Linked DNA regions of Cricetulus griseus. The protein of the gene in region 2 interacts with the protein of the main gene of each other region in a biochemical or structural test. Links are inferred from orthologs where the notes say so. Each region holds a gene or a part of one and is shown on either strand. Other genes may lie near its edges.

Region 1 (4,088 bases), on a different chromosome or scaffold from region 2:
ACCCACCACCCAATCTTATCTTTTTGTCTTCTACATAAGGAAGGGGAATCTAACCAAAATAGGCACAATTTCCAATGAACTACTTTAGGGAAAACCCTGCTAAAGGATAGCTGAAAATCCCTTAAACATTTTTTCATGGTTTTTAAAATTATTTTTTTAGTATGTTTATGTACATATGAGTTTTCTTTGAACCACATATGTGCAGATGCCCTTGGAAGTCAGAGGGTCACCTAATGTAGATGCTGGGATCTGAAGATGGTCTTGATTGTTAAGCCTAGCTTTTTAAAAGATCACAACTATTCAAGCAGGCATTTAAGGTCAAGATGTTCTCCATAAACCCAGCTAATGATCAAATGCTAATGACCTATAATTAAAAATATTCTACAAATACTAAGATGTTATCAACCTGGAGATAAAAGGATGGATCCAGGATTCAAATTCCAATTGTACCTGCATTTTTTATTTGTTTGTTTTTTTTTTTTGAGACAGAGTTTCTCTGTGTAGCTTTGGAGCCTGTCCTGGCACTCCCTTTGTAGACCAGGCTGGCCTGAACTCACAGAACACATGCCTCTGCCTCGCCTCCTGGGATTAGAGGTGTATGCCGCCACCACCACCTGGTCTACACTTTTCTTAAAATTAAAATTTGTATTTTTAAATTTAATTTATTTCACAAATATGGGTATTTCCCTCAAATTTGTGTCTAAGGAACATCTGATCCTCTAGAACTGGAGTTACTGACAGTTGTGAGCTTGCAGGTGGGTACTGGGACTAGAACCCAGAGCTGCAACTGCTCTTCACTGCTGAGTCATCTCCCCAGCCCCTAAAATTTGAATTTTAAAGAGAACTTTGCACAGCAGCTGTAAACTTCAAAGGTTAAGTAACTCCACAGCAGCAATAGCACCAGAATCTAAATAATCCATCTTATCAAACAGAGGTGGTTGTGGGGAGTCCAAATGACATATCCTCAATTTTTGTGCCTATTTAAAATAAGCTAGTTTTTAAAATAAATGAAACTATAACTGGCAATCTTCAGTATAATAAGAGAGTTACTGGCATGCAGGTACAAGAGCAGCAATATGTGCAAGACAGATGTGAAGGGGAAGTACTTTTTTAAGTACTCCTTTATAAGTCTTTAATTGTGACCTAATTTAATTTGTTTTGACTCCCAAGACCAGTTCACCTTTATCTTCATAGTTGTACACTGTGAGTCTTTTTAAAAAGAACGTTAATTATTCTATCTAGTTAAGACAGTTGGTGGAAAACACGTCTTTCCTACCATTTCTAAAATTATGACCATTCAAATTTGAATGCATTTCTGAAATAGACTTGCTCATCAGGAAAATATGCTAAAGTTCCAAGATTATTACTAACATTAAAGAAAGGCATGTGTAATGACTGAAGAGCTGCAGCATTTGAAACAGGATCTGTCTATAATCAGAGCCTGGTTCTAGTCCTTCGCCCTTGGGAAAGGACTTCCTTTCTATACCTTATCTGAAAGAGGGTATCTTTTTCCTCAAGATGGCTATCCAGACAAAATTAAACTATTCGGATAGCAGAGTATCTCAGAGACCTTCAATAAATTAGTTTTCTTCATTTAGCACAAAAGACACAAATTTAGGGGTAAGAAAACCTACTCCCACAAGTTTTCAGTACAAAACACAAATACTTGTTCCAGTAAAAACAACACACTTCATCATTCCACAATCAGGTGAGAAATCCTACAAGTGACCATGCAAAATTAGGTCTGAAAATACTCGATGGTAACGAAGGAGTTAAAGTCAAATTAGGCCCAATTCCAAATACATCTTAATAACTCTTTAAGAGTGATGCTAGCTTATCCTTCCTGCAACGCAACGATATTTACATCCATTTTGAAACTTCAAGATTTAAATATCCTCACAACCAACGCTGGTGTCATTAATGCTTTTTAGAAAGCCTAAGTTGGAACGCATCATTAGCTCCACTGAAGATATTTTGTGAAAGCTGTTCACGTATACACAAGGAAGGGAAGAAAAATATTTTGGTGTTCAGCACACAAGCCGAGGATTCTCGCTTGCAAAACCACGGCCGCCTCCACCACCACCGACAAGCCTGTGATGGAATTCCTGGTTTTACGATCTAATGTCAAAGAAGGCGGCTATAATGCCATAAATTAGGGGACACGGTGCACTTCCGTTCCCGTCCCAAGGGAGAAGACTCCAAAGTACGAGCTTGAGACCAAGTCCTCGGGTCCTGACCTCAGTGTGGGGTGCCCCTCCAACGGCAAACGAGGGGCAGCCCAGGAAGCACCCCAGCAACAACTAAGCCTCGACGGGCTCCGTGATTGTGGACCAAAGAGGAGTCAGGGGTCCAGGTCGCTGCAGAACGCGAGGCCAAGGCGCGGGAAGGGCCGCGGCTGCGTCCAGAACAGCCAGGGGCACAGGCAGGGGTGACCGGGTGAGGCCGAGCTTGCAAACCGGAGTAGACACTCACCAAACCATGCCGTAGGCGCCCTCTCCGATGTACGAGAGGTTGGTGTAGCGCGGCCCCACGTCGAACACCTGCCCGCGGACCATCTCCGGGCCCGCCGCCGCCGCCGCCGCCATGTTGGCTGCCTAGTCGCCGCCGCCGCGCTGGGCTCGACGCTTCGCGGCCGCCGCTCGGCTTGTGCAGCGCCTCCCGCAGGGACCGCGCTGCCACCCGTGTAGCCGCCGCCGCCCGCGACCGGGAACGCGGAACGAAGACAACACAGAGCAAAGAACTGACCGCCAGTGAACCACTGCCTGCCTTCCTGCCTGACGGGCGGGCAGCGAGCGGGAGGAGGGAGGGGCTGGCGTCGAGGGGCGCTGGGGCGGAGTCAAGGGCGTGAGCGCTGATTGGCTCCTCGCGGCGCTGGGCGGGGTCTCGAGGGCCGGCGGAAGCAGCGAACTGAGGCAGGAGCACTGCGGCTGCGGGGGAGGGCCGTCACGTGCGTTTGGAGAACCGGGCGTTCAGTTTGTTTGGTGGCTCTTGAAAGCCTGGTGGAAACCTGGGCGTAACGACCCCACAGTGTGTCCGACCGCTGTGCGGTGCCCAGGACGAACTCATGTGGAACCAGGCACTTGGCGTGAGACCGGAGGACTCAGCATACACCAAGCAATGGACCCCTGAGACAGGCCTCTGGGAATCCGTGGCCCTCACACTAATGAACTTAGACTGCCAAACTGGGACAGAAACCAAAAAGCATGACCCAGACTCAGAAAGATATTTTCACACCTAAAAAGTGTGAGACATAAGTGGAAACCAAAACACAAGGCATTGAATCCCCTAATTAGAGGTTTGTTCAAGAAGATTTGCTGAATACTTCTCCCTTCTAGGGTGAAGAGACAGACAAATACGATGCTCACTTAACTAAGTGCTGTGAACAATTAAAAACTGGAGGGAAGGTTTACAGAGTTGTGGGTGAGGACGCTGGAGAAAGACTGAAATCCAGGGACTGGACCCAGGTGTTGTGTAACCGTTTCCTGCGAGATTGAAACATTCTATCCTGCAGAGAAACTCCTTAAACAGGAAAGTAAACGGCACAAAGGAACTTTGGGAGTCCTTGAAACTGACCAGATTCACCGGGTTACTCCTTGCTGGAGTAAGCAATAAAAGTTGAGAATCCCTGTTCGATGAACTCCACGGAGCTGCAAAGAAGACTCAGCCAAACTGCTTAGAAGAAGCAGAAATCAGCCTCCTGCCTCCTGCCTGGAAGAGGTCTAGACCAACTTAAATAGCTGGAGGACACTCTTCAACTTTGCTGGTATCCATACTCATCTGTAGTGACTAGGTGTGTATTGTGTCTTCTCAAGAAGTGTTTTGTCACACAACACCAGCTTGGTACAGATGAGCAGAAACCCAGATGGGCGTACTGAAATATAGCACAGTTAGAATGGCTGAAACATCTGAACAAGTTGTGGGTCAGAACCAGTCAGAAACACGAATGAACCCGAAGAAAATTGTAATCTTAAAGTAGGTGGGTGCCAAGGAGAGCAATGGTAAGATAGTGAATGACACAGTTTGTCTCTCAGGCATTACTACCCTGTCGTCCCTGGACGCAGACTCCTCTGTGGCCAGCAAATGAGATC
Region 2 (3,500 bases):
AGCTCTTCCAACATCCTTGGGGGCCACCAAGTAAGACTAAAGATTCAAATAGATCGTTTCTGAAGAACAAGTGGGTATAAGAATGGGTGGGAATTATACAAAACTCCACATGTGGCAGAGAATGAATGGGAATGCATGCTATTTTTTCTTTTCTCATATTTTTAAAGAGACAGGAAAGAGCGGGAGGGAGGGGAGAAAGAGTCCCACAAGGGGGTGTTGGATTCCATGGAACTAGAGTGACCAGCTGTTGCGAGCCATTGATGTGGATATCTGATCCTCTGAAGGAGAAACAAGTACTCTTAACAGCAGAGCTGTCTGTCTAGCCTCTCTTTCTTTTTAAATGATAAATGTAAAACAGAACCAACTAAACAGATTGAATTCTGGTTGATATACATTACTTGTTTCTCTTAAACATTTTAAGTCACATATTGTTGAAGAAGGTTGAGTGTATTTGATTGATTCACTTGAGTAGCTGGATGAAGTGTTCTTATTTCCCTCTCTAGTCCACTAATGAATGATGGCTCGAACTCTGGTAACATTGGAAGCCTCAGCACGATACCTACTGCAGCACCTCCTTCCAGCACCGGTGTTCGAAAAAGCTGGCATGAACATGTGACTCAGGACCTGAGGAGCCATCTAGTGCATAAACTGTACGTTACCCTCATCAGTCAGATTCACATTTTGTGGCTGAGGCATTGTTGAATCTTTATGGGTGCATAGATGTTTGGTTTTGTTTTTTCCTTTGCATGTTGAATCCCAGTTTATAGCTCTTAGCTGCAAAGGGTCCATGCTTGTTTCAGAAACCAATCCCCACTGTAGAGAGTCCTAGGAAGGCTGAGTTTCCCAGACTCTGGGCCCTATTGTATGTTGGCATCAGACAGTTAGAGACGTGACCGGAAGCCTACCTATCCTCTTTGCTTTTGAGTTCACGTGTGTTCAGTTACTTAGGACTAGTTATAGAGTTCCCTAAAACTTGGGGGAAATTTGGCTCTGGTGAATATGTATGGTATGACCACATAGTTATTTTACATACAGAAAGTAATGTTTCAAACTACCTCTCCTAAGTTGAAGTGAATCAACTATAGATTCTTCCTTATTTTGATCTGTTTACAATGAACAGTTTCAAAATAGAGATTTGGAATCATACTTTTCATAAAATGATATAACACATTTGTGATTATTATGTAGGTTAAAGGTTGGTATTGTTTCCATTGTTCATGCACAAGGCAAAGAGAGTTCTGCTGTGACCACTTTGAAAGTAGGTTGATCTAGTATATTGTCCTTTCAGTGTCCAAGCCATCTTCCCAACTCCTGATCCTGCAGCTCTGAAGGATCGCCGAATGGAGAACCTGGTCGCCTATGCTAAGAAAGTAGAGGGGGACATGTATGAGTCTGCTAACAGCAGGGTAGGTTGTCAAGCAATTGTTGAGCCTATAGGTGGGAAATGATATTTGTCTAGTTCTTTACCCATAATTAGGAGAATCTGTGTGATATAGGAGACTCCTTACCTTGAGACTTTGAACAGACATGTCCCAGTAAGGATGAGATTCCTGTACAGCCCTTTTGTGAATGAAGCACAAATATCATAGGAGGACAGAGGATGCATTAGATAAAGTGTATGTACCCTTGGGTCATCTCTTTTCACCGTGGGTATTCTTTAGGATTCTTCTATTATATTATTGCCAGTATCAGTGAATACCCAAGAAAAAGCTCATTTGTGCAGAAAAAATAAACAACTGTATTTAGCACCTTCGACTGGTCGTATCTAGTAAAGTCACTAGTTCAGTAAAGTGGAAATTAAAGGGTATGCTGACATCACTAGGAATTTGGGGTGGTGATTCTTTGGTTTATTAAATGTGTCGAACCTTTGTTAATGTACTTAAAATGTGCTTAGCGGTATAGTGCCTTCTTAGGCCCTGAGTTTGATCCCCAGCAGCAAAATGTGAATGTGTGAATAAATGAATGAATAAAAAGAGTTCATTCATTGCTAGTTAGAACATAAAAATAAATGACTGGTTCTTAGATTTTTCAGTTCCTTAATATTGAATATTATTGCTTTTTTAGGATGAGTACTACCATTTATTAGCAGAGAAAATCTATAAAATACAAAAAGAACTAGAAGAAAAACGGAGGTCACGTTTACATAAGCAAGGCATCTTGGGTAACCAGCCAGCTTTGCCAGCTCCTGGGGCTCAGCCCCCTGTGATTCCACCAACTCAGTCTGTGAGACCTCCAAGTAAGGACTGTATTTCTTTTTACCAGCTCTTAGCCTGCCTGCTTAGTTTTCCTTCTGTCTTTGGGGTATATGTCTAAGAATGTACAATTGTGTTCTCCAAAAGTCTGTGCTTTGGAAGCTTTCTGTATGGCAGTGTCCTGTGAGGACATTGAGCCTCCCTCATAGGAAGATTTCTTTTTGTTTTCTTCATTTTTGGTTGTTTGAGACAGGTTTGCTCTATAGAGCACTGACTGTCCTAGAACTCACTCTGTAGACCAGGCTGGCTTTGAATTTAGAGATCTACCTACCTCTGCCTCTCAAGTGCTGGTATTAAAAGGTGTGTGCTACCACTGCTTGGTATAGGAAGGCCTCTTAAAGGCTTTGCTGCTAAGTTATTGGGTTTTTTTAACTTGTTTATAACTCCCACCCCCCTTTCAATTAATTAATTTTTTCTCCCTTGTAGATGGGCCACTGCCTCTGCCAGTGAATCGAATGCAGGTTTCTCAAGGTATTTATTGTCAGCCGTGTTTTACTTTAACTTTCAATGTTAGCAAATTATCCCCCATTTTCCCTTTTGTTTTTTTTTTTTTTTTTTTTTTTTTTTTTTTTTTTTTTTTTTTTGCACTTTCCATTCTTTTCTGATAAGAACATAGTCCACTAAATAATTCCACTAAATAATGTTAGCCTGTTTTTTAAAATTTGGAAATTAGAGGAGCTTTTTCCAAAGAGGTCAGAAATAGGATTTTGGACTAGCAACACCCCCCCCCCCAGAAAACAAAAACAAACAGGGGAGACATTATTAGGAGATTATAAAAAGAGCCATATTTTAGGAAGGAAAAGGCCTTTCTGAATATTCAGCCTGAGAGTCTGTAACCCAGTTGGTTTCAAGTACTTGGGGACTCAGAAGGTACAGTGCTGCTTCAGGCCATCAGGATTGAAGTTGCTGAGTAATTATCAACCACAGGAGGCTGTGTGCATAGCTCCATGCCTGGCTGGAGTAGTGATAGCTGTCTAAACCATTAATCGCTCAATTCAAGATTCTGTGGTCATTTGGAGTAGATAAGGCTTCAGGGCTAGGGGGTATTTGTACGCTCTTTAGATCTTGACATACTGAGACTTGAATATCAGGGTATTGCTCCAAGTTGTGAAATAAAGTGGGGACATTATCCAGATGGTAAAGTAAGGCATTGCAGTTTGAGAGGGACAGGTAAGTGATTTGAAGTTGTAACAGTGTTATTGAACACTGAAACAGACACTGAATAAACTTGCCAAGAACTTGTTTGGA
Region 3 (3,990 bases), on a different chromosome or scaffold from region 2:
CTGGGAATTGAACTCAGAACCTCTGGAAGAACAGTCAGTGCTCTTAAACCCTGAGCCATCTCTCCAGCCCCTAAGAAAAGATTCTTTTTTTTTTAATAGATTTTATTTATTATGTATACAACATTCTGCTTCCATGTATATCTGCACACCAGAAGAGGGCACCAGATCTCATAAGGGATGGTGAGCCACCATGTGGTTGCTGGGAATTGAACTCAGGACTTCTGGAAGAGCAGTCAGTGCTCTTAACCTCTGAGCCATCTCTCCAGTCCGAAAAGATTCTTTTACTAACGTCTTATACTGTGAAAGGTTATTGATTTATTTAGAATTTTCATTTTTGCCGGGGGTTGGGGGGCGTGGTGGCACATGCCTCTAACGCAGCAGAGTCTAGAATAGTCTACAGAGTTCCAGGACAGGCTCCAAAGCTACACAGAGAAACTCTGTATCGGAAAAACACACACAACAATTATTTTTTCAATTTTACTCTTTTTACTTATATATCCGTAATCCACACTTAATGCCTGTGCAAGAAGGTCGTGGTAGTCAAAGAATTTTAGGTCTTTCTGTGACGAAAGGCAAATAGTTAATAGGTTGGAGGTAGCTCCTTCTGCCTATAACTTCAAACTTAAAAACTTTCAACATTTTAGTCATCTACAGCTCTTAAAACTGTCCTAGAGCTGGGGGCAGAGGTAGGAGACTCTATGTGAGTTCGAGGCCAGGCTGATCTACATAGTTCTAGAGCGGCCAGGGTTGCTCAAAAAACAAAAATAAAAACAAAAAATATGTGTTCTAAGGGGTCGTCTTTTCGTTGTGGTCCTAAATCAAGGTCATGAGTGTGCTGGCAGCAAACAAGAGAAGGTAATAAAAATATTATACCGGCGATTCCCTATATTTAGGGACGGTTAGTAAGGTTGGGAGCAGACAAAAGAACTTGGTTTAGCTCGGAGAAGCGCGCAAGGTGTCCGAGAGGGAGGAGTCTAGGATGTCGGTTTGACCCCAAACATTCAGCCTGGTGGCGATGCCCTGGTCTCCCTAGGGGGCTGAGGCAGCCGGCCGGGTCTCCCAGCGGCAGAACACACAGTCGTTCTCTTGCTCCGGGCAAGCAATTTTACAGGTCAGACGCCCCAAGGCCTTTCCCCAAGGCGTTTTCCCGCCTCCTTTTCCCGTCTTCCCAAAGTCTCCTTTGCGCGCAGCGGAAGTGACGCAATACGTAGCGGAAGTCCCTGCAGCCGCGGTGTTGTGCTGTGGGGAAGAGACAGATTTGTAAACCTCAGAGTGAGGTTCTGCCTGCCGGAGGCCGCTGTGGTGCGGAGACCCCCGGGCGAAGCCACCATCACCATGTCTGACCAGGTACTGGGCCAGGGCATCGGGGCTCAGAGCTGTCGGCCGCTGGCTGGGCCCGGGGACCGCGGCGCGGGGGAGGGGACGCAGCTGGGGGAGGGGGCTGCTGCTGGGGAGGGGGCCGCGAGGGACGCGGAGCGCCCGGCCGAGTCGGGCCCAGCCGCCCGGGACCGCGGGGCTCCGGGGAACACCCGCCCTCCGCCGCCTTCCCCGCGCCCCCCTCCCGCTGCCCCGCGCCGCGGCTCTCTCGACGGCTCCCAGGTTTCTCGCGGGTCCGCCGGGGGCCCAGGCCCGCTCCTCTGTCCCCGAGAGCAACCTAAGAGAAATCGACCGTTTCCCTTCAGAGGACCGATGGCAGAAACAGGGCCCCAGGCCTAGTTATGTAACGGGAGGGAATCCCTGACTGGGAGGGTAGGTAGCCCCGAAAAGCTGCTCCACTCCACTTTGGGTTCTTGGTCTCGGAGTGGGGGGCGGAGAGGAAGCCTGGCCTGAGGTTCCTGGGACCCAGAAGACGCTGCTTTCCGTTGTGTTTGCCGGGAGGGCCTGTCCGCCTCTGCTCCCTTCTGCGTCTTTTTTTTTTTTTTTTTTTTCCATCTGGGGGGTGCGGATCGGTCGGCTCTTTTTCTGTACTTTCCATTTCTTACTCGGGATTGGTCCATCAACTCTCTAGTTGTAGGAGAGTTCAGAATAACCGAGAAACAAACGAAACTAGGTTAGAGTACCACCACCAACAAGCCATTTATTTCATCTGGGCATTAGCCTGCTTATGATTGTTACATTTTCAAAAATGGCACTTTTTTTTAACATAGTCAATTTTATACACGTAAACGACGTATCTTGGTTATATGCACCTCCATATCACCCTCTTCCAGGTGATATTTTTGAGGAAAATAGAAAAACTGAATATTTACAGCTGCAGAATGTTTACAGAAAGCTGCCAATTAATAGTAAAATGCTGTGTCTCCGTATTAATGTTAAGAATTTGCATGGTATTGGCATTCAAATTAGGAATACTGCCACCTTAATTTCCTTCATCCCATTTTTGTTTACCACGTTTGTGGCTAGTTTTAATACATAGGATTTTTATCTGTTTTTCCTTTTGTTTGCTTAGAGGACTGAATTTTCAAATTTTTTTTGACGTTTGTCTATAATGATAATTATTCAGTAAACTTTTCATTCAGCACCACAGTGTAGTTGAACTGTTTTCTTTTAATTTAATCTTATTTATTTATTTATTTATTTATTTAATTGTTTTTCGATACAGGATTCTCTGTGTAGCCTTGGCTAACCTGGAACTGCTCTGTAGACCAGGCTGGCCTCAAACTCAGAGATTCCCAGCCTTTGCTTCCTGAGTGCTGGGATCAAAGGCATGCTTCCCCACCACCTGGATAATATGGTTCTATTTTTGTAGCCTATCCATAATGTAGATTAATTGTGGGGTAGATTTGTTTATAAATAATCTGGATTAATTCTGTTTAATCTGGATAGAAATTCGTTTATGAATATCTCTCCAGATAGTTCCGAGTAAGGGAGGAAAGATGAGCTGTAAATGCTTAGTTTCATCAGTCTTTTATTTTAGAAGGAACTAGAAGGCATGTCAGCCTGATGAAGGGCAACATACAGTTAGAAATTTTAAAATTATTTTTGCTCTAGTTTGAACTCACATCATTTAAGAATATGGAGAAAGGCTCTAAAGCTACACAGAGAAACCCTGTCTTGAAAAACTATTAAAAAAAAAAAAAGATTATGGAGAAAGGAAAAGAGAACCTAGGACACAGGCTGTTTTCAGGGGATCTGTGAAGCCACACTAGGGTGTAGTACTTGTTACTGGGCACTGAACTTAGGGCTCACATGTGTACATGCCAGACAAGCACTATACCACTGAGCTAGATCCGAATCTCTTATACTTAGTCTCACTATGTTGCCTAGGTTGTTCTTGAACTTCATTCTGTAGCACAAGGTGTCTTTGAACTCGGAATAAATACTCCTCCCTCACTTATCGTTGCAGAGTAGGGAGGATTAGAGTTATGCCATACCTGGCTAGTCCATGTGTGATTTGTTTATTTTTTTTTTTGTCCCGTGTTGTTCCCCCCCCCCCCCCCCAGGGTTTCTCTGTATTGCTTTGGAGGTTGTTCTGGAACTCTGCTCTGTAGACCAGGCTGGCCTCTGCCTCCCAAGTGCTGGGATTTTCTTTTGTTTTTGAGATAGGGTCTTACTATGTAACCTTGGCTGCCCTGGAACTCATTCTGTAGTTCAGGCTGGCCTGGAACTCACAGAGGTCTGCTTGCTTCTGTCCTCTGAGTGCTGGAGTGAAAGATGTGCATCACAATACCTGACAAACTTTTGTTTTGTTTTGTTTTGTTTTCAAGACAAGATTTCTTTGTAGCTTTGGAGCCTGTCCTGGAATTCACTTTGCCTGCTTCTGCCTCCCAAGTGCCACCACCACCTGGCCCAAAACAAGTCTTTTTAATTGAGCTACACAGTAAAGCAATATGCAAGAGTGTGAAATAGTGCTACTTTTAGAAATTTTGACTTGAAGAAAAAGTATGCTAACATTTTAGGGGTTATTTATTTTGTTTTCTAAGACAGAGTTTCTATGTGTAGCCCTGATTGTCCTGGAACTTGCTCTGCAGACCAGGCTGGCCTCAAACT
Region 4 (3,975 bases), on a different chromosome or scaffold from region 2:
TGGGTCGTGACCCCTTTGGGGATGGATCAACTTTCACAGAGGTCACATTTCAGATATCAAATATTTACATTGTGATACATAACAGCAAAATTACAGTTATAAAGTAGCAGCAAAAGTAATTTTATGGTTTAGGGTCACAAGAGAAACTGTACTAAATGGTAGTAGCATTAGGAAGGTTGAGAACCACTGCTATATACCAGCCTTTGGGAGGTGGAGGCAGGAGGATAAGGAGCTCAAAACCACCCAGGTTTCATGAGACCCTATCTCAAAGTTCCAAAATAAAATCGTAAAAAAGAGGGGGAACTGTATCATGAGGATCCACACCTGTGAAGGATGCTATTTGTTGTGTGGCTGCTTCCTGTGTGTTCTGGGTGAACGACCCACACACTCCTTCAGCTCTGGCCGCTAGATGCGGGCACGTGGGAGAAATAGAGGGCGTTCACTTAAGTTTGCAATGTGGACGCATCTCCCTGGGGCAGAGCTGTCCCGCACCAGCATGAGCAGGACAGGGGGACAGAGAGCAGTTGGCTGTCTGCACAGTCCCTGCCCAGAGCCCCCACCCCCGGCTGGCGCCACAGTCAGCCGGTGGGGCGAGATAAAGCGGGCAAGGTTCTGCGGATCCGAATCAGGGAGGCGCAGCTCCGATAGCAGCGCCCGGGATGGGCTCCCGGTGTGTTTGCTCCAACTGTTTAAACTGCTTCAAAGCGCCAGAGCCCCAGCGACCTTCAGCAAACAGCTGCTAATCTCTAGCCAGGGAGAGCTGTCCCAGCGAGGACTCGGGCAGCCCAGGGCCTCTCGCCCGCACTCCGCCCCCGTGGGACCACGGCCACGCCCGGACCACCGCTAGAGGATGGTCATCAGCGGAGGCCGAGGGGAATACAGCAACTCTTGCCGGAAGCCCTCAGGCCCTTGACCCGCCCCTCTGGTCCCAGCCTTGTCCCTTTACCCTTGCCCCGCCCTAGGGCAAGCCCTCTGGCCCTTGCCCCGCCCCTCCGGCCCCTCTAAGTACCTTTACTCTCGCTCCGCCCTTCGCCATGTCTTCGGACCCTTTCCCTGCCCAGGACCCTTGCACGACTCCAGGCTCTTGCCCCGCCCCCAGTCCCTTGCCCCGCCCCCGGGCCCTCGCCGGGGACTCTAGCCCTTGCCTCTCGCTCCAGCCCTCACTCCGCCCTTAAGTTCCTGTCGCTTCCCCAGGTCCTTGTTCCGCCCCCAGGGGGCGGGGGGCGGAGCGGACTGAGACTGGCCGGACACTCAAGCGAGCCGGCTGTCTGCTGGATCCCGGCAGCTCCGTCGAGTCACTGCCGCCGCCGCACCTCGGCAGCCAACGTAGCGTCGCCGTCGGGGATCCTCAGTGCAGCGTTCGTCCTCAGCATGATGGACTTGGAGTTGCCGCCGCCAGGACTACAGTCCCAGCAGGTGCTGCCCCGGCCCTTGGGCTTATCGGCTGTGCCAGGAAGCAGACGGGAGCTCGAGGGGACAGTGGTCCCGGGAGGGAGGGACAGTCTGAACCCAGACTGCGACAGCCCGACCTGGGAGCTGCCCCCCGCCGGGCCGGGAAGGCAACGGGGGTGTTGGGGCAGCGATGAGAGTAGGGACCGAGCCTGAGGTCCCCGGGGGCACTGGGGTTGGGGTGTGGAGGAAGCTCGGGCTTGGTGGGGCCAGAGGGCATCAACACCACCTCGCTGGGTCGGATGCTCAGAGGCGGCGGGAGGGGGCGGACGCTGGCTGTCTTCGCCGGCGCAGCCCGGCCCTTTCCGGGCTTGCGTAGTTTCCCAGATTCGGTGCCGGTAAAAATGTGCCTAGTCACGGGGCCGTGCTCGGGGGAGCTGAGGTCTCCTCGGCGACCGCCCCGGAGACTGCTTCCCTCCCCTGGCCGCGACCTCCAGCGCGGCTGCCAAGCCCCCTTGGCCGTCTGTGGTTTTCTCAGCCCGAGAGCTCGTCGTCTGTAGGATCATGCCAGTCCGGCTTGATCTAGAAAAGCCCAGCCCTCTGGGGGCGGAAGAGAAAGTCACCGGGTGACCCTCGTGCTCAGGTGCCCCGACGGGCAGGGCTCCTCGCGCTTCCTCAGCCCGGGAATCCGGCATTGGCCTCACATCAGGCGAGGACTTGAGGACCTGGGCGGGCTCAGAGGCCCTAGGCAGCCGCACGCGGGGCTGTGTGTTCTGAGCGTCGTGACTCGCGGGGCCCCCACACTGTGTATGTGTGCGTGGCTGTGGCCTCCGGGTGGGTGACAGCGGCCGGTTGGCAGTCACGGAGGCCCTCGGTTGGCCCTTTCCTGCTTTATAGCGTGCAAACCTCGCTGCTCTGGGGCCAAGGGACAAGTTGGAGCTGTTGATCTGTTGCGCAATTGTTATTTTCCCCTGGGCGGCTTTGTCTTTGGATTTAGCATTGCAGAATTGCAGTCCCAGAATGTGTAAAGCAGGATATTCTGTTCCTTGCCGTCAAGGGTAAGAGTTGTAGATTAGAATTTGTTGCTTTTTATATTGACGATGAAGTTTTTGCGTTTAGCTATTATCCCTCCCTTGTGTCTTTAGTACATTTTTCCTTAGTGTTTGAGATTTTTTGCCTCCTCGATTTCTTAGCACATTGTGAACTTTTATGAACAGAGAGGATGGGACGCTTTCGTTTCATAACCCCTTGTTGATAAGTTTTGAAGATTGTTATGTAAGTGAAAATCAGTTTTTGGTCATACTTCTGGCACTTTTAAAGAAGTAAATGCTTATGTTGCCATTGTGTTGTACTTGGATTTTTAGGAAAAGGGAATGTGTAACTTGGTAAACAGAAAGTTAATTTAAATGTTAAATCGCTGACCCTGAAGGGCCTGATGTAAGCTTTTAGTTACTGACAGTGCATTAATTCTACTCCCTCTCTTGAACTTTCCCCCAGAAATGATTGGGGTTGTAGCTGGTTTTCATTAGGATGAATAAGTAAACTGTACTTTCTGATCTTCTGTTCTTCATTAGTAATCAAAAGGAATGCTTGTCTGGCCACAGGATACATGATACAAACGAACTTTGATTTTAAAGTTTTCTTCTTTTTTCTGTGTAGCATGTAGCATAACATTTCATGTACAAAAATGGCAGATGTACTGCTTTCTCCTCCATGTGAAAGTTTTCTTTGCCAACAACATTTCTTGTTATTTCCAGACAGCAACTTTGAAAAACAGAATTAAAAATTATAATTCATCTTAAAATCATTGTTTGGTAGTCCAGAAGGATTTGAACTGAGTTACAGATTTGAGCAAATGGTTGTGTTGTTGTAGGATAATGGTTTTAACTGCTCAATGACTCTTCATCTCAGGGGGAAAGCCATCCATTACTCTTTTCAGTGGTGTCTTGGAAAGATAAAAGTTGATGAAGTTGATATTGAAGATGAAGTTGATATTGAACGAGACAGATAAGCTTATTTTTAAACGTTAGACACAGAGAAAGTGGACAAGCCTTTCCTCTGGAATGAATGTTAAGCAAGACCAACTTGACTTTTTAGATATATGGAACATCTCTGAGACGTTACAGAAACCAAATGTGGATTGATAAATACACGACCACATCAGTCTTTCTATCTTAAAAATAACTAAGGCAGTGGCTGGGGAGATGGCTCAGTGGTTAAGAGCACTGTCTGTTCATCCAGAGGACCCAGGTTCAATTCCCAGCACCCACACAACAGCTCCCAACTATCTGTAACTCCAGTTCCAGGGTATCCAACACCCTCATACAAACATCCATGCAGGCAAAAACACAATGCATAAGAATAAAAAAAAATAAATGACTAAAAAAAATAATTAGGGCCATTTTGAAATTTCATTTATATTAACTTGGGTCCTTAAAAACAATGCTGGGGGAACAATCCTCTTTTAGGATTACCGGTGAGAGTTGAAAGCCAGATACGTGGTTCTTCTTAATGTTCATTTTTATTTAGGATGAGTTATGCTAAGCAAAGCTGCAGGAGAAAGGAGCACTTGAGCAGTTACCTTTA
Region 5 (4,127 bases), on a different chromosome or scaffold from region 2:
TTAACACCACACTCACGTTTTGGTTTGGGTTTTTTTTTTTTTTTTTACTTTTTTTTTTTAAGTACTGTTTGTAGAGATGAGGGCGAAAACATATTCCGGCTGGAAAATTACTGATCACGCACTAGGAAGGTAGTGGGGATGGGAAAAGGAGTTACAAGACCGAAATAAAGACCGATTGCCATTTCCCCTCCCGGTGGGCCAAGGGCCTGGGTGCCACTTTTAGAGAACTAGGGTCCCACCGCAGTGCTCCATTTCCCAGCACACGGTCACCTCCCAGCAAAGTCCCTCTGAGTGGACTGGCCAGCTCGAAACCTAAACTGAAGGGAGCGAGTTGTCCTGTGACCTTTACCTCGCCGCTTCACCTCTTTATGACTCATTTTTCTCATCTTCAAACTGAGAGTGCGAGTGCGTAGCCTGTAAAGAGCTTTGAGATTCCTGGTGAAAGGTATCTCTGCGCCTGGATTCCTCCTTGCGCTCCCACTCCCCGCAAGTAAATCTGGAATCCTTTAACTCCCTTCCTTGCTCTTTCCATTATCAAAACTGTAACTACGTGCCCATCCTGGCCTTTTTACTCCATAGCAGACCCTACTCGGAGCTCCTGAGACTCCTAGCCCCCCGTCACCCGGCCCCTATCCCCAACCCTGCAAGAGGCCCCACGGGCACAGCCCGGCCTCTGCGTGCGTATGCGAGGGAGGGCGGGCTGGATGAGTCACGCGGATAATCGCGCTCTTGGGTGAGCAGAGTCGACAGGAGCAACCGCGAGCAGGAGTAGGGGCTCGCCGCCGCCCCTCTCCCCACCAACCCTGTCCTGGCAAGGGTTCCCGTGACCGGGCTTTCGACCGTGGCCGCACAGAGGACCCTAAATCGCCGTGCCACTGAAGCAACGCCGGGATCCTAGCGCCGAAGCCGCCGTCGCCGCCACCGCCGCCGGCGTCAGCACGGCTCCAGCCCGCCAGCTGCCCGGCTGGCGTCACGGCCCAGCCCCGCCCCGCCCGTGCCCCTCCCTCGCCCCCGCCCCCACGTGCGCGGAGTTTGTTTATTTAGCTGTCATGGCAACGCGCAGGGGGGCTGCGGGAAGGCGGGGAGAAGAAAGGCAAGGGGCGGGGCCTGGCGGCGGAGCCCCGCGCGCCACGGGGAGGAGGCGGGGGAGCGAGCGAGCGAGAAGTTATAAGTAAGAAGCGCGCGGCGGCCGCCGGCAGTTCCCCGGCCGAGAGAGCGAGCGCGGCTCCGGGCGCGCGGGAGCAGAGGCGGTGGCGGGCGGCGGCGGCACCGGGAGCCGCCGAGTGCCCCTCCCCGCCCCTCTGGCCCCCCACCCAGCACCCGCCCGTGACCCGCGCCCATGGCCGCGTGCACCCGGCGCAGCCCCCAGGACTCCGCACCCCGCGCCACCGCCCAGCTCGCAGTTCCGCGCCACCGCGGCCATTCTCACCTGGCGGCGCCGCCCGCCCACCGCCCGGACCACAGCCCCTGAGCCGCCGACAGCCACAGTGGCCGCGACAACGGTGGGGGACACTGCTGAGTCCAAGAGCGTGCAGCCTGGCCATCGGACCTACTTATTTGCCTTGCTGATTGTCTATTTTTTTAAGAGTTTACAACTTTTCTAAGCATTTTTGTATACAAAGGAACTTTTTTAAAAAGACATCTCCGGTTTATATTGAATCCAAAGAAGAAGGATCTCGGGGAATTTGGGGTTTTTGGTTTGGGGTTTCGTTTCTAAAGTTGTTTTTAATATTCGTTGACTTTGGGGTTCGGGTACCCCTCTCTCTTCTTCGGACTCCGGAGGACCTTCTGGGCCCCCACATTAATGAGGTAGGTAAGATGCTGGGCTAGGGGAACATTAAAGGGTGAGAATTGGTGGGAAACCTCGGAGCAGTGGCCAGGGTAGCCCCTGACTCCTGGTCCCTGTGCGCCCCGCCCGGCCCGCAGGCAGCCACCTGGCGAGTCTGACATGGCTGTCAGCGACGCTCTGCTCCCGTCCTTCTCCACGTTCGCGTCCGGCCCGGCGGGAAGGGAGAAGACACTGCGTCCAGCAGGTGCCCCAAATAACGTGAGTGTCGCGCTAGTGCCCGGTAGATTTCTGGGGATGTTATGGGGTGGATGGGCAGAATCCAGGGGTCAACCAGGAGCCCCTGGCTAGGACAAGAATTGCCCTCCGTTGAGACTCTACAGCCTTCCCAGGGTGGCTCCTCGGCCCTTGAGTCGGCCTTAAGTGCGTGTGGTCCCGGCACTACGGTACCGCCAGGGGCGCACAGCGGTTCCTCGCTGGTCTCCCGGCGTCCGGGCCGTGGGGTGGGTGCACGAGGACCACTGGTGGCCAAGTCTCGAGACCCTCTGGGCACGAGTGAGCTTAGCGCGTAGGAGACCGGGTGGCTACGGTGCATGGGAGAAAGCCACAATGTCCTAGTGTCCCAATTCCGTGGGCGGCTGGAGCGTCTCGAGGATCTGGCTGGGAAGAAAATTGGGCTGGCGGAGGTGCCGCACTAGTTTGAGGTGGAACCGACGGGCCGCCTCTTACCCGGGTGCTGGCTGAGATTGAAGCGCTGGCACCTGGAGTCCCTGGAGCTGCCTTCCTGCCCTGTCCAGTTCCTATGGCAGGAGTCTGGTGTGCTTCATCCAAGTCGATACTAGGAGTGGCAGCAAGGGGCTACAACTAACCACTTCTCTCTCCCTCTCTGTCCTTGGCAGCGCTGGCGAGAGGAGCTCTCTCACATGAAGCGACTTCCTCCACTTCCCGGCCGCCCATACGACCTGGCGGCCACCGTGGCCACAGACCTGGAGAGTGGTGGAGCTGGCGCAGCTTGCAGCAGTAACAACCCGGCCCTCCTACCCCGGAGGGAGACCGAGGAGTTCAACGATCTCCTGGACCTAGACTTTATCCTCTCCAACTCGCTATCCCACCAGGAATCAGTGGCCGCCACTGTGACCTCCTCGGCCTCAGCTTCATCCTCGTCCTCCCCGGCGAGCAGCGGCCCTGCCAGCGCGCCCTCCACCTGCAGCTTCAACTATCCGATCCGGGCTGGAGGTGACCCGGGCGTGGCTGCCGGCAACACAGGTGGAGGGCTCCTCTACCCCCGAGAGTCTGCGCCACCTCCCACGGCCCCCTTCAACCTGGCGGACATCAATGACGTGAGCCCCTCGGGCGGCTTCGTGGCCGAGCTCCTGCGGCCGGAGTTGGACCCAGTGTACATTCCGCCACAGCAGCCTCAGCCGCCAGGTGGCGGACTGATGGGCAAGTTTGTGCTGAAGGCTTCGCTGAGCACGCCTGGCAGCGAGTACAGCAGCCCGTCGGTCATCAGTGTTAGCAAAGGCAGCCCGGACGGCAGCCACCCTGTGGTGGTGGCGCCCTACAGCGGTGGCCCGCCGCGCATGTGCCCCAAGATTAAGCAAGAATCGGTCTCCTCCTGCACAGTCGGCCGGTCCCTAGAGACCCATTTGGGCGCTGGACCTCAGCTCAGCAACGGGCACCGGCCCAGCACACACGACTTCCCCCTGGGGCGGCAGCTCCCCACCAGGACTACCCCTACCATGAGTCCCGAGGAACTGCTGAACAGCAGGGACTGTCACCCTGGCCTGCCTCTTCCGCCAGGATTCCATCCCCATCCGGGGCCCAACTACCCTCCTTTCCTGCCAGACCAGATGCCGTCTCAAGTCTCATCTCTCCATTACCAAGGTCAGTGGGGGAAGGGATTGGTAGAGCTGCTGCTGGGGAGTTTTGCCTATGGGATGGGGGGAAGTTCTCGGAGACTCCTGAATGAAAGTTGACCCCCCACTTTCTTTACCTAGAGCTCATGCCACCGGGTTCCTGCCTGCCAGAGGAGCCCAAACCAAAGAGGGGAAGAAGGTCGTGGCCCCGGAAAAGAACTGCCACCCACACTTGTGACTATGCAGGCTGTGGCAAAACCTATACTAAGAGTTCTCATCTCAAGGCACACCTTCGAACTCACACAGGTAAGGGGACCAGCGCTGTGGAGGAGGGTTGGTGTCTGTCTGCTCATAGGCTGGCTGTGGATTCCTTAGGGCTTTCTTAGGTGCTGGGGTGTATCTCTTCTCCATCTCCCGGATCACAGAGAAGGGCAGCAAACAGGCGCCTGTGTTTTTGCCCAGAAGCCTTTTGCTTGATGGATGCT
Region 6 (2,201 bases), about 30 Mb from region 2:
TCCATGATCATCGAGGCAGGAAGCATGGTGCCTGGCAGGCAGGCAAGCAGGGGGCTGCCACAGTCGATGAGAGCTTGCTTTCTTACATATAGATTAGCAGGCAGGAGACAGAGCAAGCAGGAATGCCTAGTATGGACTTTGGAAACTTCAAAGCCCAACCCCATCACACTTTCTTTAAAGATCACACCTCCTAATCCTTTCTCAAACAGCTATAACAACTAGGGAGGAAGCATACAAATGTGTGAGCCTATTAGGGCTGTTCTCATTGAAACCATCACAAGGGTCTTTAAGGGAAGGGGGAAGCTGGTCCAAAGTTGGGGCAGGGGTACAAAATAAAACAAAGACTGCATCTGTTGAGATTGATCAGTGAGAGCCAGAAGTTCAGCTAATTGCTGGTGTTGCAAAGTTGGGAACCTGTAGTGCTTATGTCTAGCCTTTGTCATGGGCCAGCAAGGACACAGTGGGGGCATTTTTTTTTTAATTTAAAAATATTTATTTTATTTTTAAAATATTTTTAAAATTTAAAGCTACAATATTTTTAATTTTGAAATATTGTTAATTTAAAACACTTTTAAATTAAAATCTTTAAATAATTTCTAACTTACATTTTTTTTATTTTAATTGTGTGTGTGTGTGTGTGTGTGTGTGTGTGTGTGTGTGTGTGTGTAGGTGTTTGGCTTGCATGTATACTGTGTGTACTACTTGCATGCCTGGTGCCAGCAGAAGATGTCAGATCCCCTGAGATGAATTAAGGTGGAAGCAAGCCATAGTGTGGGTGCTGGGTTCTGAACCGTGGTCCTCTGGAAGACCAGACAGTTCATTTTACTGAACCACCTCCAGCCCTTGTCCCAGAAGTCCTTAAACCGAGACTATTTTTCTAATATCACAGAACTCAGGAAAATTATGCCCTGTTGCCATATAAAGGAAACACCCAGAGATGCTAGAAGGTTCTTTGTGACTTGACAGTTGAAGCAGGGTTGAAAAAAAAAAAATTCTGAGAATGACTCGAGTTTTTCTACAATCCATGCTGCGGGCCTACCGAGATTAGTCTCTACTAATAGCTCTGGTGTCACTGCCACCCGGAGAGCATATAAGGGGCAGGATGTAAAGAGGAACGCCCAATGGACCAATCAGAGTGGAGTACTCAAACACGCCACCAGGTGCGCAACCAATAGGAATGCAGTGGGCTCTATAAAAGCCGAGCCCACAGGGCACCTTGCACACTCGAGGAGAAGCAGAGAAGAAAAGAACTTCGGGACGATGGCACGCACCAAGCAAACAGCACGCAAGTCGACAGGAGGCAAGGCTCCACGGAAGCAGCTGGCCACGAAGGTGGCCCGCAAGAGTGCACCGGCTACTGGCGGTGTGAAGAAGCCGCATCGCTACCACCCAGGAACCGTGGCGCTTCGTGAGATCCGCCGCTACCAGAAGTCCACCGAGCTGCTGATTCGCAAGCTGCCGTTCCAGCGCCTAGTGCGTGAGATCGCCCAGGATTTCAAGACTGACCTGCGCTTCCAGAGTTCGGCCGTGATGGCGCTGCAGGAGGCCTGCGAGTCCTACCTCGTGGGGCTATTCGAAGACACCAACCTGTGTGCCATCCACGCCAAGCGGGTGACCATCATGCCGAAAGACATCCAGCTGGCTCGTCGCATTCGCGGAGAGCGGGCCTAGACGCCATAGGCTCCTCATCTTTGCACTACTTTGAACCCAAAGGCTCTTTTCAGAGCCACCCACCCAGTCTGAGAAAGTGGTTGTAGCCTTGTAGATTTGATCCCCTGTCCACTTCGTGCGGAGTTGACTTTGAAGTCCAGCGAGCTAGTCCGGCTTTACAGCGGACCCATACCCGTTTAAGCTGTTTGATCAGCAGGTCCCTCCTGCGTTAAGTAGGTCTTCGCCTGAACCTTTGTAACAAGGTTGTAGTGCTGACTGCCCTGCCAGGTAGAGTCCAGCTTCCACAGGCCACAAATACACTACCACAACTATGGTGTGCCGATGACAAGTCTGCATTAACTCCAGTTTACTCCCATTGAAAGTCCCGAAAACCTTGCACTTTGGTTTAAAAGGTTGGCTACTCTTGTGTGTAAAAGTTAGCCCTCTCTCCTACAATGGAAAGCACACTGAGCTGAAGGCACCCACATATGCATACACAGGCGTACTAGCAAGTGTGCACCTGCAAACAATAATAAAATTTAAAATTAAAA
Region 7 (4,261 bases), on a different chromosome or scaffold from region 2:
ATCCTTTCTGGAAATTTTCAGAAACAAAACATAAAAAAATTATATACTTTATTACAAATGGTAAACTCAGAATGCTTCAAATCTCTTATTTACAAACAACACTGGGCAGGACACCCAAACAAACAAACATGGAATAACTTACAAAGGCAGGAAGCTGTTTATTGACAGTAATCAGCTTTCATCAAATTAAAAAAAATATATATGTACATACACAGTTGAGGAAGGCAGGCCAGGGGAGTTCATCTGCAGTCTAGCCTGGCACTCACGAGCCTCCCTCCCCTCCCTAGCCCTCCCTGCTTTGTGTTCTTAAGGAGCACTACAGAAGCAATCTACAGTCTCTATTGCAGTTTGTAACCCCTCCCCGCCCCCCTTTAATACTGAATGAGATCGAATGTTAGGTCCATGCAGTTCTTGGTCAATGTTAACGAAAAGTCCATCGTTCTGGTCTCGCGGGCACAGCCCGATCGCAAAGCCTAGCAGCCAACAGGCCGCCGCTCTCTGGCTCCATGCCAAGGCAAGGCGCGCCACGTCCTTCCCACTCCAGCACACTGGGGGCGCCGTCAGGACGCAACCCAGTCCATCTCGTGTACCCTTGGCTTCGGTACTCGGGCACTTTTTTTTTTCTTTCGCAACCAGTCAAGTTCTCAAGTCTGTCTTTGTTATATTTTTTTTCTTCCATTGCCCCTCAGCCCTGACACTCTGTCCTCAAAACGTTTGCAACTGCTGCGTTAGCATGAGTTGGCACCCACTGTTAACGTGGTTCATGACTTTCTGTTTAAGCTGTGCCACCTGTTCCCTGAGCATGTTGGCCGTGGACGCCAGCTCCGAGTTTTGCGCTTTCAAGGTTTTCACTTTTTCCTCTAGCCGGGCGATCCTCTCCAGCTTCCTTTTCCGGCACTTGGAGGCGGCGATGCGGTTCCTCATGCGCTTCCTCTCCGCCTTGATCCGCTCCTGAGACTCCATGTCGATGGGGGACAGGGGCGGGGTCTCTCCCGGCATCTCGGGCACGGTCTGGGGCTCTTCCTTCAGGGCCTGCAGCCGCGGGTGCTGCACCGGGATCTGTTGGGGCAAGTGGTGCGGCGGCTGAGGCGGCTGCTGCTGCTGCTGGGGCTGCGACGGAAAGGCCAGCCCGGCCGCGCCGTAGGAGGGCGCCCCGCCGCCGCTGCTCAGCGCACCCGGGTTGAAGTTGCTGAGGTTGGCGTAGACCGGAGGCTCGCTGTGTAGGCTGGCGCTGTAGCCGCCGCCGCCGCTGGCGCCGGCTACCGAAGCCACCGCGGGAGCCACCATGCCCGCACCGCTGACCGGCTGTGCCGCCGACGTGACGCTGGGCAGCGTGTTCTGGCTATGCAGTTCGGCCAGGGCGCGCACGAAGCCCTCGGCGAAACCCTCCTGCTCGTCGGTCACGTTCTTGGGGCACAAGAACTGGGTGGGGGTCGGCGTGGTGGTGATGTGCCCATTGCTGGACTGGATGATCAGGCGCTCCAGCTCGGGCGACGCCAGCTTGAGCAACCCAACGTCGGGCGACGTGAGGAGGTCCGAGTTCTTGGCGCGGAGATGCGGCTTCAGGTTGCCCACCGGGTCGGCCAGGTTCAAGGTCATGCTCTGTTTCAGGATCTTGGGGTTACTGTAGCCGTAGGCGCCGCTCTCGGACTGGAGGAACGAGGCGTTGAGGGCATCGTCGTAGAAGGTCGTTTCCATCTTTGCAGTCATAGAACGGTCGGTCAGTTCACGCGGGGTTCGTCTGGGCTGCGCGCTGAAGTTTCGGGGCCGCAACAGCGCGCTGGGAAGCGGGGGACACCCGCGCGTCCCTGCGTCTGTGACAAGTAAAGTTTGTCTAAGAGCGCGCGCTCCGGTCGGCAGTGCTCCCCCCCTGCGCCCTCCTCCCCAGCTCGCTCCAGGGAGCGCAGGGTTAAGGTACCGCCTTCACTCACGTTGGTCGGCTCCCGCGCGCTGCCGGGCTTTGAAAAGTCGCGGTCACTCGCGGAGCGCTCTCGGGTAGTAGCAGTTCCTCGGAGACCGCAGACCAGCTCCAGCGACAGCAGCTCTCCGGCGGCGCTGACCAGTCGTCACGGAACTGTCGGTGGAAGCCCGCGATCGGGCTCCGCCGCCCGGACTCCGACAACTGTCCCCTCCTCCGCTGTGAGGGGGAGGGGGACGCTCGGCGGCCGCGGCTAGCGCTCGCCCAACTTCAGCCGCCTGTGCGAGCGGGGCTGAGTGTGGGTTCTTCCTCTTCTCCCCTTTCTTTACGGTCTCGGGGGCAGCCTAAGGCGCTGAAAAGGTTTGCAAAAGTTCGCTCCGGGCCACTTGTTCCCGGTCTTCTGGGTCAGGAAAGTTGGTGGTCGGCGTAGCCGCTCGCCTATTTCCTCGCTCGGGCAGGCACCGCTCTCGATGCTGTCAGCAGCGCAGGGACTTGCGAGCTGCTTCTCCGGGGAAGGCGGGAGAAGGGACTCTCCAAGTGCTCCCCAAAACACCGGTGCTGGAGCCGCGGGCGCTGGGTCCAGGTAGTCGGTGAGAAAATGAAGACAAACAGATGAGCAGCCCGGAGTCCGCGGCCGTCCAGATTGGCCGAGAACGTCCGTCCTTCCTTCCGTCCGTCCCGCTCTCTCTCTCTGCCTCTCTGTCTGAGCGCGTTCCTGCCAGGACGTCTCTGCCACACTCAGTGCAACTCTGAGTCCTTCTTATCCAGCCTGAGCTCAACACTTATCTGCTACCAGTCAACCCCTAAAAATAGCCCATGATGTCACCCCAAGGCCTTCCCATTGGCCTGCGTCGCTCTCAGGGGGGCGGGCCCGCCTGTCGCCATGGAGACCTCACCCCAGAAGATTCTTCTCTGGGCCCGCGAAGGCTCACGGGATGAGGTAATGCTCCGCTGCGCTCCTACAGTTGGGCCCTTCTTTCTCCTCCTCCCTCCCCCTCCCGCGCGGCGCTCAGGCTTGTGTTCCCGGGTTCCCTCCCCGGCGCGTCTTTCCCGGCCCGCCCGGTGCATTGTGGGCTGACGTCTTGGTTTGGCTGTCTAGTGACGGAGGCTGCCGGGTCGGCTGGACCCTTGCGGCGTCTGTCGGAGGCGGGCTCAAGTTCAGGGTTGGGGACGGGGATCGAGACACCGGCATCCAGAAAGCTGGGGAGGCTCGCTAGTGGCCCCGGGCGGAAGGCCTGGGTGGGGAGTGGAGGTGGCGCGCGCGCACGCACGCACACACAAGCACACACACACACGCACACACACGCACACACGTGAAGGGGCTGAGCGACCTGAGCTCCAGCAGGCTCTGCACCCCCACACTTCCGGGAGGCAGCGGCGCGGGTGAAGATGGTTGTGTGCGCCCCGGGTGCGGGAGCGAGAAAGTGTGTTGAAGTTGAACGGGCTTGAGTGTCCCTCCCACGTTGAGCACGCGTGGAAGTTTATCTCTTGGTTAAGTTCCAGAGGAGGATCTGTGCCGCTGTGTGCTCTACCTGGAAGCTAGAGATTTGCGGTACTAAGAACCGACTCGTCAGGGTCCTCGGCACAACACTTCACCCTCTGGAGACATGCGGGGAGGGGCTCGCTTTGCCTCAGAGGGACGCGCTTTCTAGACGTGAAATAAAGGGGCGACCCCAGCATCCATGGGGGTCAAAATCAACATTTAAGGGTTCAAAACTCAGGAAACCCCAGCGATCGCCTTTGCCCGGGCGCGTCTCGCGCATACGCAACCCGCGCCCGCCCTACCCCCCACCCCCCAGCTCCTGATTTGCTTCTGGGAAAACAAGTCTTGAGAGCCGCCGCCGACTCGCCCGAAAGTCACGCTGCCTAAGCGGGAGTCCCTGGTAGAAGCAGGCTAAAGTCTCCCCTCCCCGCCCGCTGGTGGATTCATATCCTGTGTGGCCTCTAGGAAGCGCTAGACACATGTAAGTGGTTTTTGTCCTAGGGTTCTGCTATCCGACCTCCATTCTCCACCACTTAGGACTAAAGAGGTGGCAAGCTCGGTTCTCTCATGGCCTAACTGCAATCTCGGAACTTCTCTGAGCTTTATTGGCCTCATCTGCAAGTAGAGCGGATGAGGTCCACCGTACCGGGCTGCCAGGCGTTAGTATTACCTTCCTTGATGCCGGTACTAGAAGCTGGTCAACTCACTGTCCCCTTCCCTGCCGGCCTCGGCATTCCCCCTGGGCCTTCCCGCCGTACCAGGCTACAGGGCTGTGATTTGGCAGGAACTGGTGAGCAAGGTAGCAAAGGGCTGTTAGCCAGCTCTTCCCCAAGCCTCCTTACAGCCCAGGACTTGAGGTT

What was found.
Region 1: of the proteins of histone lysine acetyltransferase CREBBP (region 2) and Mapk1, one has a biochemical effect on the other in vitro, tested with the Homo sapiens proteins (2 studies listed by BioGRID). The link is inferred for Cricetulus griseus from reciprocal best matches to the Homo sapiens genes CREBBP and MAPK1.
Region 3: the proteins of histone lysine acetyltransferase CREBBP (region 2) and Sumo1 form a complex in vitro, tested with the Homo sapiens proteins (2 studies listed by BioGRID, with this or other methods). The link is inferred for Cricetulus griseus from reciprocal best matches to the Homo sapiens genes CREBBP and SUMO1.
Region 4: the proteins of histone lysine acetyltransferase CREBBP (region 2) and Nfe2l2 form a complex in vitro, tested with the Homo sapiens proteins (2 studies listed by BioGRID, with this or other methods). The link is inferred for Cricetulus griseus from reciprocal best matches to the Homo sapiens genes CREBBP and NFE2L2.
Region 5: the proteins of histone lysine acetyltransferase CREBBP (region 2) and Klf4 form a complex in vitro, tested with the Homo sapiens proteins (2 studies listed by BioGRID, with this or other methods). The link is inferred for Cricetulus griseus from reciprocal best matches to the Homo sapiens genes CREBBP and KLF4.
Region 6: of the proteins of histone lysine acetyltransferase CREBBP (region 2) and histone H3.1, one has a biochemical effect on the other in vitro, tested with the Homo sapiens proteins (2 studies listed by BioGRID). The link is inferred for Cricetulus griseus from reciprocal best matches to the Homo sapiens genes CREBBP and H3-4.
Region 7: the proteins of histone lysine acetyltransferase CREBBP (region 2) and transcription factor AP-1 form a complex in vitro, tested with the Homo sapiens proteins (4 studies listed by BioGRID, with this or other methods). The link is inferred for Cricetulus griseus from reciprocal best matches to the Homo sapiens genes CREBBP and JUN.

What each region holds. Positions count from the first base shown.
Region 1 is NC_048597.1:72,356,860-72,360,947, forward strand, and holds the start of Mapk1 (mitogen-activated protein kinase 1), read right to left. Parts: upstream 2,801-4,088; 5' UTR 2,586-2,800; coding exon 2,473-2,585; intron 1-2,472. UniProt on the Homo sapiens protein: Serine/threonine kinase which acts as an essential component of the MAP kinase signal transduction pathway. MAPK1/ERK2 and MAPK3/ERK1 are the 2 MAPKs which play an important role in the MAPK/ERK cascade.
Region 2 is NC_048600.1:42,539,473-42,542,972, forward strand, and holds part of histone lysine acetyltransferase CREBBP, read left to right. Parts: coding exon 1-30; intron 31-503; coding exon 504-650; intron 651-1,288; coding exon 1,289-1,406; intron 1,407-2,064; coding exon 2,065-2,236; intron 2,237-2,678; coding exon 2,679-2,723; intron 2,724-3,500. UniProt on the Homo sapiens protein: Acetylates histones, giving a specific tag for transcriptional activation. Mediates acetylation of histone H3 at 'Lys-18' and 'Lys-27' (H3K18ac and H3K27ac, respectively).
Region 3 is NC_048595.1:413,930,895-413,934,884, reverse strand, and holds the start of Sumo1 (small ubiquitin-related modifier 1), read left to right. Parts: upstream 1-1,190; 5' UTR 1,191-1,335; coding exon 1,336-1,347; intron 1,348-3,990. UniProt on the Homo sapiens protein: Ubiquitin-like protein that can be covalently attached to proteins as a monomer or a lysine-linked polymer.
Region 4 is NC_048599.1:99,368,283-99,372,257, forward strand, and holds the start of Nfe2l2 (nuclear factor erythroid 2-related factor 2), read left to right. Parts: upstream 1-1,175; 5' UTR 1,176-1,371; coding exon 1,372-1,416; intron 1,417-2,296; exon of another isoform or gene 2,297-2,447; intron 2,448-3,975.
Region 5 is NC_048595.1:88,331,035-88,335,161, forward strand, and holds the start of Klf4 (Krueppel-like factor 4), read left to right. Parts: upstream 1-1,327; 5' UTR 1,328-1,804; coding exon 1,805-1,809; intron 1,810-1,926; coding exon 1,927-2,047; intron 2,048-2,685; coding exon 2,686-3,670; intron 3,671-3,783; coding exon 3,784-3,948; intron 3,949-4,127. UniProt on the Homo sapiens protein: Transcription factor; can act both as activator and as repressor. Binds the 5'-CACCC-3' core sequence. Binds to the promoter region of its own gene and can activate its own transcription.
Region 6 is NC_048600.1:73,028,993-73,031,193, forward strand, and holds histone H3.1, read left to right. Parts: upstream 1-1,260; coding exon 1,261-1,671; 3' UTR 1,672-1,701; downstream 1,702-2,201. UniProt on the Homo sapiens protein: Core component of nucleosome. Nucleosomes wrap and compact DNA into chromatin, limiting DNA accessibility to the cellular machineries which require DNA as a template.
Region 7 is NC_048595.1:53,810,955-53,815,215, reverse strand, and holds the start of transcription factor AP-1, read right to left. Parts: upstream 2,801-4,261; 5' UTR 1,932-2,800; intron 1,815-1,931; 5' UTR 1,711-1,814; coding exon 706-1,710; 3' UTR 1-705. UniProt on the Homo sapiens protein: Transcription factor that recognizes and binds to the AP-1 consensus motif 5'-TGA[GC]TCA-3'.